3 linked regions of the Anolis sagrei genome follow. The protein of the gene in region 2 interacts with the protein of the main gene of each other region in a pairwise test. Links are inferred from orthologs where the notes say so. Each region holds a gene or a part of one and is shown on either strand. Other genes may lie near its edges.

Region 1 (3,747 bases), on a different chromosome or scaffold from region 2:
ATTCAGTCATCTCCGACTCTTTGTGACCTCATGGACCAGTCCACGCCAGAGCTCCCTGTCGGCCGTCACCACCCCCAGCTCCTTCAAGGTCAGTCCAGTCACTTCAAGGATGTCATCCATCCATCTTGCCCTTGGTCAGCCCCTCTTCCTTTTGCCTTCCACTTTCCCCAGCATCATTGTCTTCTCTAGGCTTTGCTGTCTCCTCATGATGTGGCCAAAGCACTTCATCTTTGCTTCTAATATCCTTCCCTCCAATGAGCAGTCGGGCTTTATTTCCTGGAGGATGGACTGGTTGGATCTTCTCGCAGTTCAAGGCACTCTCAGAACTTTCCTCCAACACCACAGCTCAAAAGCATCTATCTTCCTTCGCTCAGCCTTCCCTAAGGTCCAGCTCTCACATCCGTAGGCCATACAGCCTGAAAAAACCTACAACAACCCAATGTTTTAAAAAGTTTGGAGGTGGGGAGAAATGTTATTTGGAATTCAGGTGCCATCATCCTTGATCATTGGCCAAGGCTTCTGGGAGTAGAAGTTCACAAAACTCATGCAGCAGAATATGGGAATCAATGGTTCAGGATATTCAGGCCCTGCTGTGTAACTCAATTCCGGATCCATTTGAGCCTTAATAATAATAAAACCATTCTCAGGGTTCAATCTCTTTGGATCCAGCGAAAAACTCGAAAATTTGCCAAGGAACGCCTCTCCAAGGAGTAGTCCAAGTATACGCATGCGTAGCCAGTCACTCTCGGTCGCCTCTGCTTGAGGCTCCGAGGCGAGCCGCTGAGCCGTCACGTGATTTCTGACGTAACCCATCACGCTGTCTTTTCATTGGTAGAGACAGAAACCGTTAAGATTTGAACCGGGCGAGGCGTTGAGTTAGAGGTGATACCTCAGAGTTGGTGGCAGTAGCAGAAACGTCGGTGGGGCGTCCTCGGAAGCCAAGTAGGTAAATAGGGAGGGAAGGGGGGAGGGAAGGGAGCGGAGGCGAGAGGCCCGGGACTCGGAGGGAGCCCGGAACCCGCTTACCCAAGGCATTCCTGCTCCTGAGCGCCCACCCCGCCCCCTCCCTCCTGAAAACCCTTAGTCCACGCTCTGTTAGTGCCTCGTTTGCTCCTTTGCATCAAGATTTTCACTGTTTCTTATGATATTAAGTTGCTAGTACTGTCTGATAACTCTTCAGGTCTGTTGCGTTTGGAGAATTCCAGCCCATTAAACCTAGGTGACAAAACAAAAATAGGACAATAGACTCTTAGATTGGAAGAGACCACAAGGGCCATACATTCCACACCCCCCCCCCCAAAAAAAATGGAGAAAAAACACAACCAAAGCATTCCCAACAGATGGCCATCCAGCCTCTGCTTAAAAATTTCTAGAGCAGGAGATTTATTTATTTATTTATGACATGTATATGCTGCCCTTATCATCCCAAACCTGAAGACCCAACAGGTCACAGGTTCGAATCTGGGGAGAGCGTGGATGAGCTCCCTCTATCAGCTCCAGCTCCTCATGCAGGAACATGAAAGAAGCCTCACACAAGGATGGTACAACATCAAAACATCTGGGCTTCCCCTGGGAAACGTTCTTGCAGATGGCCAATTCTCTCACACCAGAAGCGACTTGCAGTTTCTCAAATCAGTCCTGACACGACAAACAAAAAATCACCCCAAAGGGGACTCAGAGCTTCTTACAAGATTATATTATTTTGTATTATTAGCATTGCACAATATCAATATTATATATTACTATATTGTACTATTTGTCATTTAATTATTATTATTTATTTCATGCATTTCTACCCTGCCCTTCTCCCCCCCCCCCCCCCGAAGGGGGACTGAGGGCGACCTCACACAGCATCATATGGTGCTATCAACATATAAACAATCAAAAATTACATTTAAAACATTAATAACCATTAAAAACTCATTATATAATTCATTAAACAATAAATTAACATACCAATTAAAATTATACCATTATATTGTAATATTATTAGTGATATTACATCTACGTTCGTTTGTGGGATTAACATAACACAAAAACCGCTGGAGGAATGGACACCAAATTTGGACACAAGACACCTAACAACCCAATGTATGTCCTTCACTCACAAAAACACTAAAAAAACACAGCAGAAGGGACTTAAAAAGCCCCCAAAAGCTAAATGACAATACAGAAAAAAGGAAGAAAGAGGGAGGGAAGGGGAGGAGAAAGAAAGAAGGAAAGGGAGAAGGAAGGAAAGAGGTAGAGAAGGAAGAAAGGAGAGAAAGAGGAAGTGAAAGAAAAATGGGGAAGGAAGGAAAGTTAGGGAAGGAAGGAAGGAGAGATGGAAAGAAGGAAGGAAAGAGGGAGCGAAGGGGGGAAGATGTAGAGAAAGAGGGAGGGAAGAAAAGAGAGAAGGAAGAAAAGAGACAGCAGAAAAGAAAGAAAAAGGGGGAAGGAAGGAAAGAGGGAGGGAAGGAAGGAGGGAGGGAAAGAAGAAGAGAAAGAGGGAAGATTGGCCACAGCAACGTGTGGCGGGTACAGCTAGTGTAATATAAAATATATAATTATATCGTATTAGTATTGTATTACATTATAGTATTATAAAGGTCTTCCTAATGTTTAGGTGAAATCTCTTTTCCTCCAATTTGAATTGATTGTTCTGTGCCCGAGTCTCTAAATCAATAGAAAATAAGGTTGCCCCCTCCCAAATGTGCCCCCCCTTTCAGATATTTAAAAATGGCTATCATGTCCCCTCTCAGCCCCTGATGTGGGAGGGCTGATTCCCAGAACAAGTCCATACCTTGAGAAGTGATCTGGCCACCGTGGTCCATGCCCTTGTCACATCTAGACTGGATTGCTATAGGGCTGCCCTTAAGGACTGTTAGGAAGCTTCAGCTGGTTCAAAGATCTGTGACCAGGCTGCTTACTGGAGCGCCTTTCAAGGAGCAGTCAACCCCACTGTTGTGGCATCTCCACTGGTTACCAGTTTTCTACCAAGTGCAATTCCAGGTGCTGGTTTTAAACTTTAAAGCCCTGAACGGTTCAGGGCCAAACTATCCAACCACATCTCCCAATATGAGCCTGCCCGAGCCCTACGATCTGCTGGGGAGGCCCTGCTCTCGGTCCTACCATCATCTCAGGTGTGGTTGGTGGATACCAAGGAGAGGGCCTTCTTGACAGTGGTTCCTAGACTCTGGAACTCCCTCCCTAAGGATATCTGAATCCCCCCACCCTGCTTTCTTTCAGAAAGCAAATAAAAAAAAATTCCTCTGGAAGGAAGCTTTTGTGGAAGGCAATGAGCAAGCATGTTAAATGACAGTGGATTTTGACATTATGGCAACAAGTTGGAGCTAGTTTTTAATTATAGCTGGTTTTAATTATTGTTTTATTATGTACTGTAGTTTTATATGATGTGTTAAAATGTTTAGAACTGTGATTTATATTTATTTTCAGTTTTTGTATTGTCTTAGATTCGTATGGTATCAAATTGCTGTGGAGTGTTAGCCGCTCTGAGTCCCTCAATGAGAGAGAAAGGGCAGGGTATAAAACAGAGTAAATATAAGTTAAAAAAAGTTGCCAGGCCAGGTGATGTCTTAAGGATATGGTCTTGCCCAAGCCTGACACTCCTTTAATGTTACCAAGCTCCATTTGTTCAATGACTCCATCCCATATGCTTCTTTCTGCATGGGAATGCCTTTGTTATCTAAGACTGGACAGAACCATAGATTGAAAGCCATCTAGGCCAACCCACTGGTATGAAGGAAT
Region 2 (3,747 bases):
CTGAAAATTTTTTAGCCCCCCCCGAAACGAAATCCTGGCTACGGGCCTGCCCCTGACAGATGGCCATCCAGCCTCTGTTTAAAAGCTTCCAAAGAAGGAAGGAGCCTCCACCACACTCCCTCTGGGGCAGAGAGTTCCACTGCTGAACGGCTTTCACAGTCTGGAAGTTCTTCCTCATGTTCAGATGGAATCTCCTCTCTTGTAGTTTGAGGCCATTGTTTCGTGTCCTAGTCTCCAAGGAAGCAGAAAACAAGCTTGCTCCCTCCTCCTCCCTGTGGCTCTCTCTCACATATATATATGGCTCTCATCATATCTCCTCTCTGCCTTCTCTTCTTCAGGCTAAACATGCCCAGCTCCTTAAGCCACTCCTCATAGGGCTTGTTCTCCAGACCCTTGATCATTTTAGTCGCCCTCTTTCTCTGGACACATTCCAGCTTAGAGTCAATATCTCTCTTGAATTGTGGTGCCCAGAATTGGACACAGTATTCCAGGTAAAGTGGTCTAACCAAAGCGGAAGAGAGCATGGGGAGCATGACTTCCCTGGATCTAGACACTAGGCTCCTCTTGATGCAGGCCGAAATCCCATTGGCTTTTTTTGCCACCACATCACATTCCTGGCTCATGTTCCCCTTTCTCTCCACGAGGACTCCAAGATCTTTTCCACACGTCCTGCTCTCGAGCCAGGGCTCATTGTCCCCCATTCTGTATCTTTGCATTTCATTTTTCCTGCCAAAGTGGAGTCTCTTGCATTTGTCCCTCTTGAACTTCATTTTGTTAGTTTTGGCCCTTCATCTCTCGAATCTGTCAAGATTGCTTTGAGTCCTGCTCCTGTCCTTTGGACTATTGGCTATCCCTCCCAATTTGGTCCCGTCTGCAAACTTGATGATCCTGCCTTCTCGCCCTTCATCTAAGAGTCATGAATCAAGATGTTGAACAGGACCGGGCCCAGGGGGGAACCCTGCTTGTGGCACTCTGCTCATCACTTCTTTCCAAACCCTGAACCTATGCCTGGCAGGGGCAACTCCCACCCTTCTCCCCAGCCTCAGGCCCTTTCCTTCCCTCAGACGCATCAGCATAAACTGAGGGGGGAAAGGAAGGGGGCTGAGGCTGGGAGGAATGATGGGTGTTGGAATCCAAAACACGTGGAAAGAGGGAGGGAGGGCCCAAGTTGGCCCAAGCCTGATCTATGCCTAGAGATACAGACAGGGAAAGTGGGGCTCCCTGTGTGGGGCAGGGTAGAGGGTTTTTTTTGGGGGGGGGGGTCTCCTCCTCTGCTTTGGTTCCCTGGCCAAGCCCCCCCACCTCTCTGCTTGTGAACCCACTCTGCCCCCCCTTCCCCCGTGGCTGTCATCAGGGCAGTGGGCGAGGACAAAGCGTCCGAAGTTTGGCCAGGGCTGCTGCCCATCAATAATGCAAAGCTTGGTTATTCATGATACAATTATGCTCTTGGCTTGGCTTCCAGACATCAAAACATGGCCAGGATTGGGTTTCAGGGGCGGAGGGAGAGAGAGAGGGGGGGCCCGCCGGGAAGACTGGCCCCGGCCCCAGCACCGCCTTGGGCCCCTTGAAGACCCTTCCCAAGCCCTCCAGGGGCTCCCTGCCCCCCCCCCCGCCCCGCAGCCCCCCCCTCCCCGAACTCCCAAGGGAATGGGGGGGGGGGGGGAAGCCTGGTTCAAGAGCCCCGGCCTGGGTTCGCGACCTCGGGTTGAACCTCCGTGGATCCTGCGCTTCTCCTCGCTCGCGGGCGGAGGGGCCACCCCAAGCAGGCTCTCCCTCCCTCCCTCCCTGCCCGACCCCTACCCTCATCTCTTACCCCCCCTCCCCAAACAGGCTTTGGCATTTCGGGAGGGAGGGGGGAAGGAAGGCTCCGCTCTCACCTCAGGATCTCTTTCCTGGTGAAGAAGGTCGCATCCTGCAGGCAAAGAAGGGAAGGGAAGGGCAAGTCAGGGCAAGGCAGGCTGGGCGCCCCCTCCCCTCCCCCTCCCCACGCCCTCCCCCCCCCCACTCCCCCCACCTGGTAGGCGTCGAGCTGCTCCGGCGTGAAGACGGTCTGCTTGTTGCCCATCCTCTCATGGCTCCCGTCGTCTCCCGGGACGGACCTGGGAGGGAGAGAGGGAGGGAGGGGGGCTCCGCGGGGCGGGAGGGGATCCGGTGTCGCTTCATGGGGCCCGGGGGGGGGGTGAGGGGAGAGGAAGGGGAGGAGGGCCGAGAGACAGACAGAGAGAGAGAGAGAGAGAGCGCTCTTCCTCCCGAATCCCTCCCCCCTCCCCCTCCCCCTCCTTCTGGCAGCAGGTGTGCAGGGCGAGCAGGAGATGCCACACGGAAGGAAGGAAGGAAGGAGGCAGGAGAGCAGTTCCCATGGCAAAGGCCTCCCTCCACAAGAAGAACCACCCAACGGAGAGGAAGGAAACCGAGGTCCGACCGCCAGCGAGTCTGAGACAAACCTCAGAGGGAGAAAGCTTCCCTTCTGCCGCCCTGGAGAGAGACGAGGACGCGGAGGAGGAATGGCTCCTCTTCTGTCGCCACTGGGTCCCAACAAAATGCCTTTCTTCTATAGGACGCACACTTTAAACCCAGTGGGAAGCCGGGGTGCCCCAAGAGAGATTGTTAGAGACTTCCAGAAGGAATGGGCTTTAGAGTTCTTTAAAGGTATAACAAAGTCTTTCTTAAGGAACAAATCTTCAAACAACACTTCAAGGCTTTCTTGTTCTAGTCTTTAAGAGACTGGCACTGACTTGGATTAACTGTACTATCTCAACATGAGGAAGAACCCTTTATAATCTCTCCCAGGCTGTCTATCATCTGGGTCTTGCTGGTCTGGGTCTTACTACCGATCCCAACTGCGTCTGGACATCCAGTAAACCTACCAGCCAAGGCTTGAGGATCTTGGAATTCCGTGATTCTGTAGGAATGTCCTGTGGGAACTTCAGGGCTGTTTTCCCCTCTGGTGCTGTGAGGCTGTGAGGCTGTGAGCTCTCAGCCAGAGCCTTTGGGACCTTTTCCTTCTGTTTCCCTGGAACTGGATGGTCACTGGATGACCCCTGGGTGGTCACTGGATGGACCCCGGATCACCTCTGGATGATCCCCGGATGGCTTTGAGGAATGAAGCCTTTCCTTCGGGACAAGCTGATCTGCGTCCTATAGACTGGCTTCCTTGTGCGTGACTGACCAAAATGGTTCCTCTCCTTTCCCAAAGCCCAGACCAAAGGGTGGAAGCAAAGCTAAATGAAGATGGGCAGGGGGCTTGCCCTATGTCTGCAGACTATAACAGGAAGCCACCCTGCTGCAAAATCCCAAGCCTGGGATTGCAAACAAACCTTTAGTTCAAAGCAAATAAAATTGGAGCCCCTGTTCCGCTGTACCAAAACAGCTCCCAACTACAGGAAAGAAAGGAGATTCCACCTGAACCTGAGGGAGAACTTCCTGACTATGAGAGCTGTTCAGCAGTGGAACTCTCTGCCCCGGAGTGTGGTGCAGGCTCCTTCTTTTGAGGCTTTGAAGCAGAGGCTGGATGGCCATCTGTTGGGAGTGCTTTGAACGCGATTGTCTTGCTTCTTGGTAGAACTCTCTGCCCCGGAGGGAGTGTGGTGGAGGCTCCTTCTTTGGAGGCTTTGAAACAGAGGCTGGATGGCCATCTGTCAGGGGTGTTCTGACAGCAATTTCCCTGCTTCTTGGCAGAATGGGGTTGGACAGGATGGTGGCCCACGAGGTCTCTTCCAACTCTCCTAGGATTCTAAGAGCAAGGCA
Region 3 (3,747 bases), on a different chromosome or scaffold from region 2:
ATAAAATATAATAAATGTAATAATAATAATAGGGTAAAATACTGTAAATGTAATAATAATAAAGAAAGTAAAATAATACAAGAAATAAAAATAATATTAATAACTGAATAAAATAATAAATAACCTTGATTCGAGTATAAGCCGAGGGGAGCTTTTTCAGCCTAAAAAAGGGGCTGAGAAACTAGGCTTATACTCGAATATACACTGTATTTTTGGAGTGAAATAGGCCTCGCTAAGGCTGATCTGGCCGGGGTGGTCCATGCCTTAGTCACCTCTAGACTGGATTACTGCAATGCGCTCTACGTGGGGCTGCCCTTGAAAACGGCTCGGAAATTCCAATTGATCCAACGGGCAGCAGCCAGGATGTTAATGGGGGCCCATTACAGAGAGAGGTCAACCCTTCTGTTTAAGGAGCTCCACTGGCTGCCGTTTATTTTCCGAGCCCAATTTAAGGTGCAGGTGCTTACCTACAAAGCCCTGAACGGTTTGGGACCACCCTACCTGCGTGACCGCATCACAGTCTACGAACCCACATGTTCACTCCGGTCATCAGGAGAGGCCCTGCTCGTGATCCCGCTCGCGTCGCAGGCGCGTTTGGTGGGGACGCGGGACAGGGCCTTCTCTGTGGTGGCCCCCCGCCTCTGGAATGCCCTCCCGAAAGATCTCAGACAGGCCCCTACTTTGGCGGTTTTCAGAAAGAACCTGAAAATACTTAATAAAAATCATTTTAAAAAAAAGAAAGAACCTGAAAACCTGGCTGTTCCAACGTGCCTTCTCAGATTAGGAACCCCACCACCAAAGCCCAGAAGCACTTTAGTAGAGTCAAGATCACCCTCACCGCACACTGCACTTATATTCTAATCCCATATCCCTCCGACACTTCAGCACTTTTTAATCCTGTACCCTACTCCGGCCGGCTCAGTTTTTAATAATGTCCTGTTGTATTGCTATTGCTATTGTCTTCTGCTTTAACTGCTTTATTTGCTATGTATTGTATTGTTGTATTGTGTTGGGCCTGTTGTAAGCTGCATCGAATCCCTTGGGAGATGCTAGCGGGGTACAAATAAAGTTATAATAATAATAATAATAATAATCAAGCAATGCTGTTTTCATAGAATCATAGAATCAAAGAGTTGGAAGAGACCTCATGGGCCATCCAGTCCAACCCCCTGCCAAGAAGGAATATTGCATTCAAATCACCCCTGACAGATGGCCATCCAGCCTCTGTTTAAAAGCTTCCAAAGAAGGAGCCTCCACCACACTCCGGGGCAGAGAGTTCCACTGCTGAACGGCTCTCACAGTCAGGAAGTTCTTCCTAATGTTCAGATAGAATCTCCTTTCTTGTAGTTTGAAGCCATTGTTCCACATCCTAGTCTCCAAGGAAGCAGAAAACAAGCTTGCTCCCTCCTCCCTGTGGCTTCCTCTCACATATTTATACATGGCTATCAGATCTCCTCTCAGCCTTCTCTTCTTCATGCTAAACATGCCCAGTTCCCTAAGCCGCTCCTCATAGGGCTTGTTCTCCAGACCCTTGATCATTTTAGTCGCCCCCTCTGGACACATTCCAGCTTAGAGTCAATATCTCTCTTGAATTGTGGTGCCCAAAATTGGACACAATATTCCAGGTGTGGTCTAACTAAAGCAGAATAGAGCATGGGGAGCATGACTTCCCTAGATCTAGACACTATGCTCCTATTGATGCAGGCCAAAATCCCATTGGCTTTTTTTGCCGCCACATCACATTGTTGGCTCATGTTTAACTTGTTGTCCACGAGGACTCCAAGATCTTTTTCACACGTACTGCTCTCGAGCCAGGCGTCACCCATTCTGTATCTTTGCATTTCATTTTTTCTGCCAAAGTGGAGTATCTTGCATTTGTCACTGTTGAACTTCATTTTGTTAGTTTTGGCCCATCTCTCTAATCTGTCAAGATCGTTTTGAATTCTGCTCCTGTCCTCTGGACTATTTTCATCCCTTCTTTCTTTCCCCCCTTCCTTCCTTCTTTCCTTCCTCCCTTCTCCAGCTCTGAGGGGCCTATCTCACCACGTCTCTTTCCTTCTTTTCTCCCTTTTACAAGTTACTTCCCTTCCTTTCTTTCTCCCTGACATCAGAGGGCCACTTAACCTGGCAACAGCCAACCCAGTGACGTCGGAGGGCCACTTCACCTGTGGTCCAAGCAGGCATACTTTTGATAGATTGATAGATAGATAGATAGATAGATAGAGATAACTTCTGGTTAAGGTGCACTGGAGGAAGGAGTCATTCAGGCTCCAGCCCCAGCGGCTCTAACGCTCTGGCATCACAACTTTAGGGCTGGATGAGAGAGGCTGGCTAGGCCGCTTCCGGTCTCCATGGCAACCAAAGCGAGGGGGAGCGCAAAGGCCTGAGGGGCGGGGAGAGGCTGGCTCCGTTGCCTAGCGACGCCCCACCTGCTGGGCCCGCGGCCCTCCGGCGACGGAACTCCGGATACATCCGCTCCCCCGGCCTCGGCTTTGCCCCGCCACCGCCGCGGCCTTAGGAGGCCTCCGCCGCCTCGCAGGCCCCGCCCCTCCCTTCCCAAGCCCCGCCCCCCGCGCCTCATTGGATGGTTTGTGTTACGGGCGTGGACTTAGGAGGAAGTGATTGCAACAGCCCTTTGATTGGGTTGCTGGGAGTTTTGTGGGCTGCCTGGCCATGCTCCAAAAGCATTCTCTCCTGACATTTCGGCCACATTTATGGCAGGCATCCTCAGAGGTTGTGAGGTCTGCTGGAAACAAGGAAAACTGGGTTTATATATCTGTGGAATGATGTCCAGGGTGGGTGAAAGAACTCTTAGCCTACTTGATTCACATTGAACGGCCTTGCAGCTTCAAAACCTGGCTGGTTGCTGCCTGGGAGAATCCTTTGTTGTGAGAGGTGCTAGCTGGCCCTGATTGACTCTTCTATGGAATTCCCCTGGTTTTTTTTAGTGTTTATATATCTGTGGAATAATGTCCAGGGTGGGAGAAAGAACTCTTGTCTGCTTGAGGCAAGTGTGAATGTTGCAACTGGCCACCTTGATTAGCATTGAATGGCCTTGCAGATTCAAAGCCTGGCTGTTTCCTGCCTGGGGGAATCCTTTGTTGGAAGGTGATTAGTTGGCCCTGATTGCTTCTTGTCTGGAATTTCCCTGTTTTTTTAGTATTGATCTGTGGAATAATGTCTAATGTGGGAGAAAGAACTCTTGTCTGCTTGAGACAAGCGTGAATGTTGCAATTGACCACCTTGATTAGCAATGAATGGCCTTGCAGCTTCAAAGCCTGGCTGTTTCCTGCCTGGGGGAATCCTTTGTTGTGAGAAGTGCTAGCTGGCCCTGATTTACTCTTTTATGGAATTCCCCTGTTTTTTTTAGTGTTTATATATCTGTGGAATAATGTCCAGGTTGGCAGAAATAACTCTTGTCTGCTTGAGACAAGCGTGAATGTTGCAATTGACCACCTTGATTAGCATTAAATGGCCTTGCAGCTTCAAAGCCTGGCTGATTGCTGCCTGGGGAGCAAGTGGGAGTGTTGCAACTGGCCAGCAAGGAACATGAATGGCATTACAGACTAATTCTATTTATAGTCAGAATCTTATTTTCCTGGTTCTTCTTTCAGGAAATCAGCTCTTTTCTTAATAGCTTTCAGAATAAAACTAGTGTTCTATTTTGAAATGGTCATATGACTGATCGAATAAATAAATATTATTATTACTGACTAATTCACCCAGAGAAGTCAGCCATAGCAGAGC

The links.
Region 1: the proteins of CIB3 (region 2) and TACC3 interact in binary tests that used the Homo sapiens proteins (3 or more experiments, as listed by UniProt). The two-hybrid records come from large-scale screens. The link is inferred for Anolis sagrei from reciprocal best matches to the Homo sapiens genes CIB3 and TACC3.
Region 3: the proteins of CIB3 (region 2) and ENOX2 interact in binary tests that used the Homo sapiens proteins (3 or more experiments, as listed by UniProt). The two-hybrid records come from large-scale screens. The link is inferred for Anolis sagrei from reciprocal best matches to the Homo sapiens genes CIB3 and ENOX2.

The regions. Positions count from the first base shown.
Region 1 is NC_090023.1:142,939,088-142,942,834, reverse strand, and holds the start of TACC3 (transforming acidic coiled-coil-containing protein 3), read left to right. Parts: upstream 1-833; 5' UTR 834-942; exon of another isoform or gene 943-946; intron 947-3,747. UniProt on the Homo sapiens protein: Plays a role in the microtubule-dependent coupling of the nucleus and the centrosome. Involved in the processes that regulate centrosome-mediated interkinetic nuclear migration (INM) of neural progenitors.
Region 2 is NC_090026.1:134,132,373-134,136,119, forward strand, and holds the start of CIB3 (calcium and integrin-binding family member 3), read right to left. Parts: upstream 2,124-3,747; 5' UTR 2,066-2,123; coding exon 2,015-2,065; intron 1,913-2,014; coding exon 1,878-1,912; intron 1-1,877. UniProt on the Homo sapiens protein: Acts a an auxiliary subunit of the sensory mechanoelectrical transduction (MET) channel in hair cells. Plays a role in regulating hair cell MET channel localization and function.
Region 3 is NC_090030.1:10,444,066-10,447,812, forward strand, and holds the start of ENOX2 (ecto-NOX disulfide-thiol exchanger 2), read right to left. Parts: upstream 2,541-3,747; 5' UTR 2,473-2,540; coding exon 2,430-2,472; intron 1-2,429. UniProt on the Homo sapiens protein: May be involved in cell growth. Probably acts as a terminal oxidase of plasma electron transport from cytosolic NAD(P)H via hydroquinones to acceptors at the cell surface.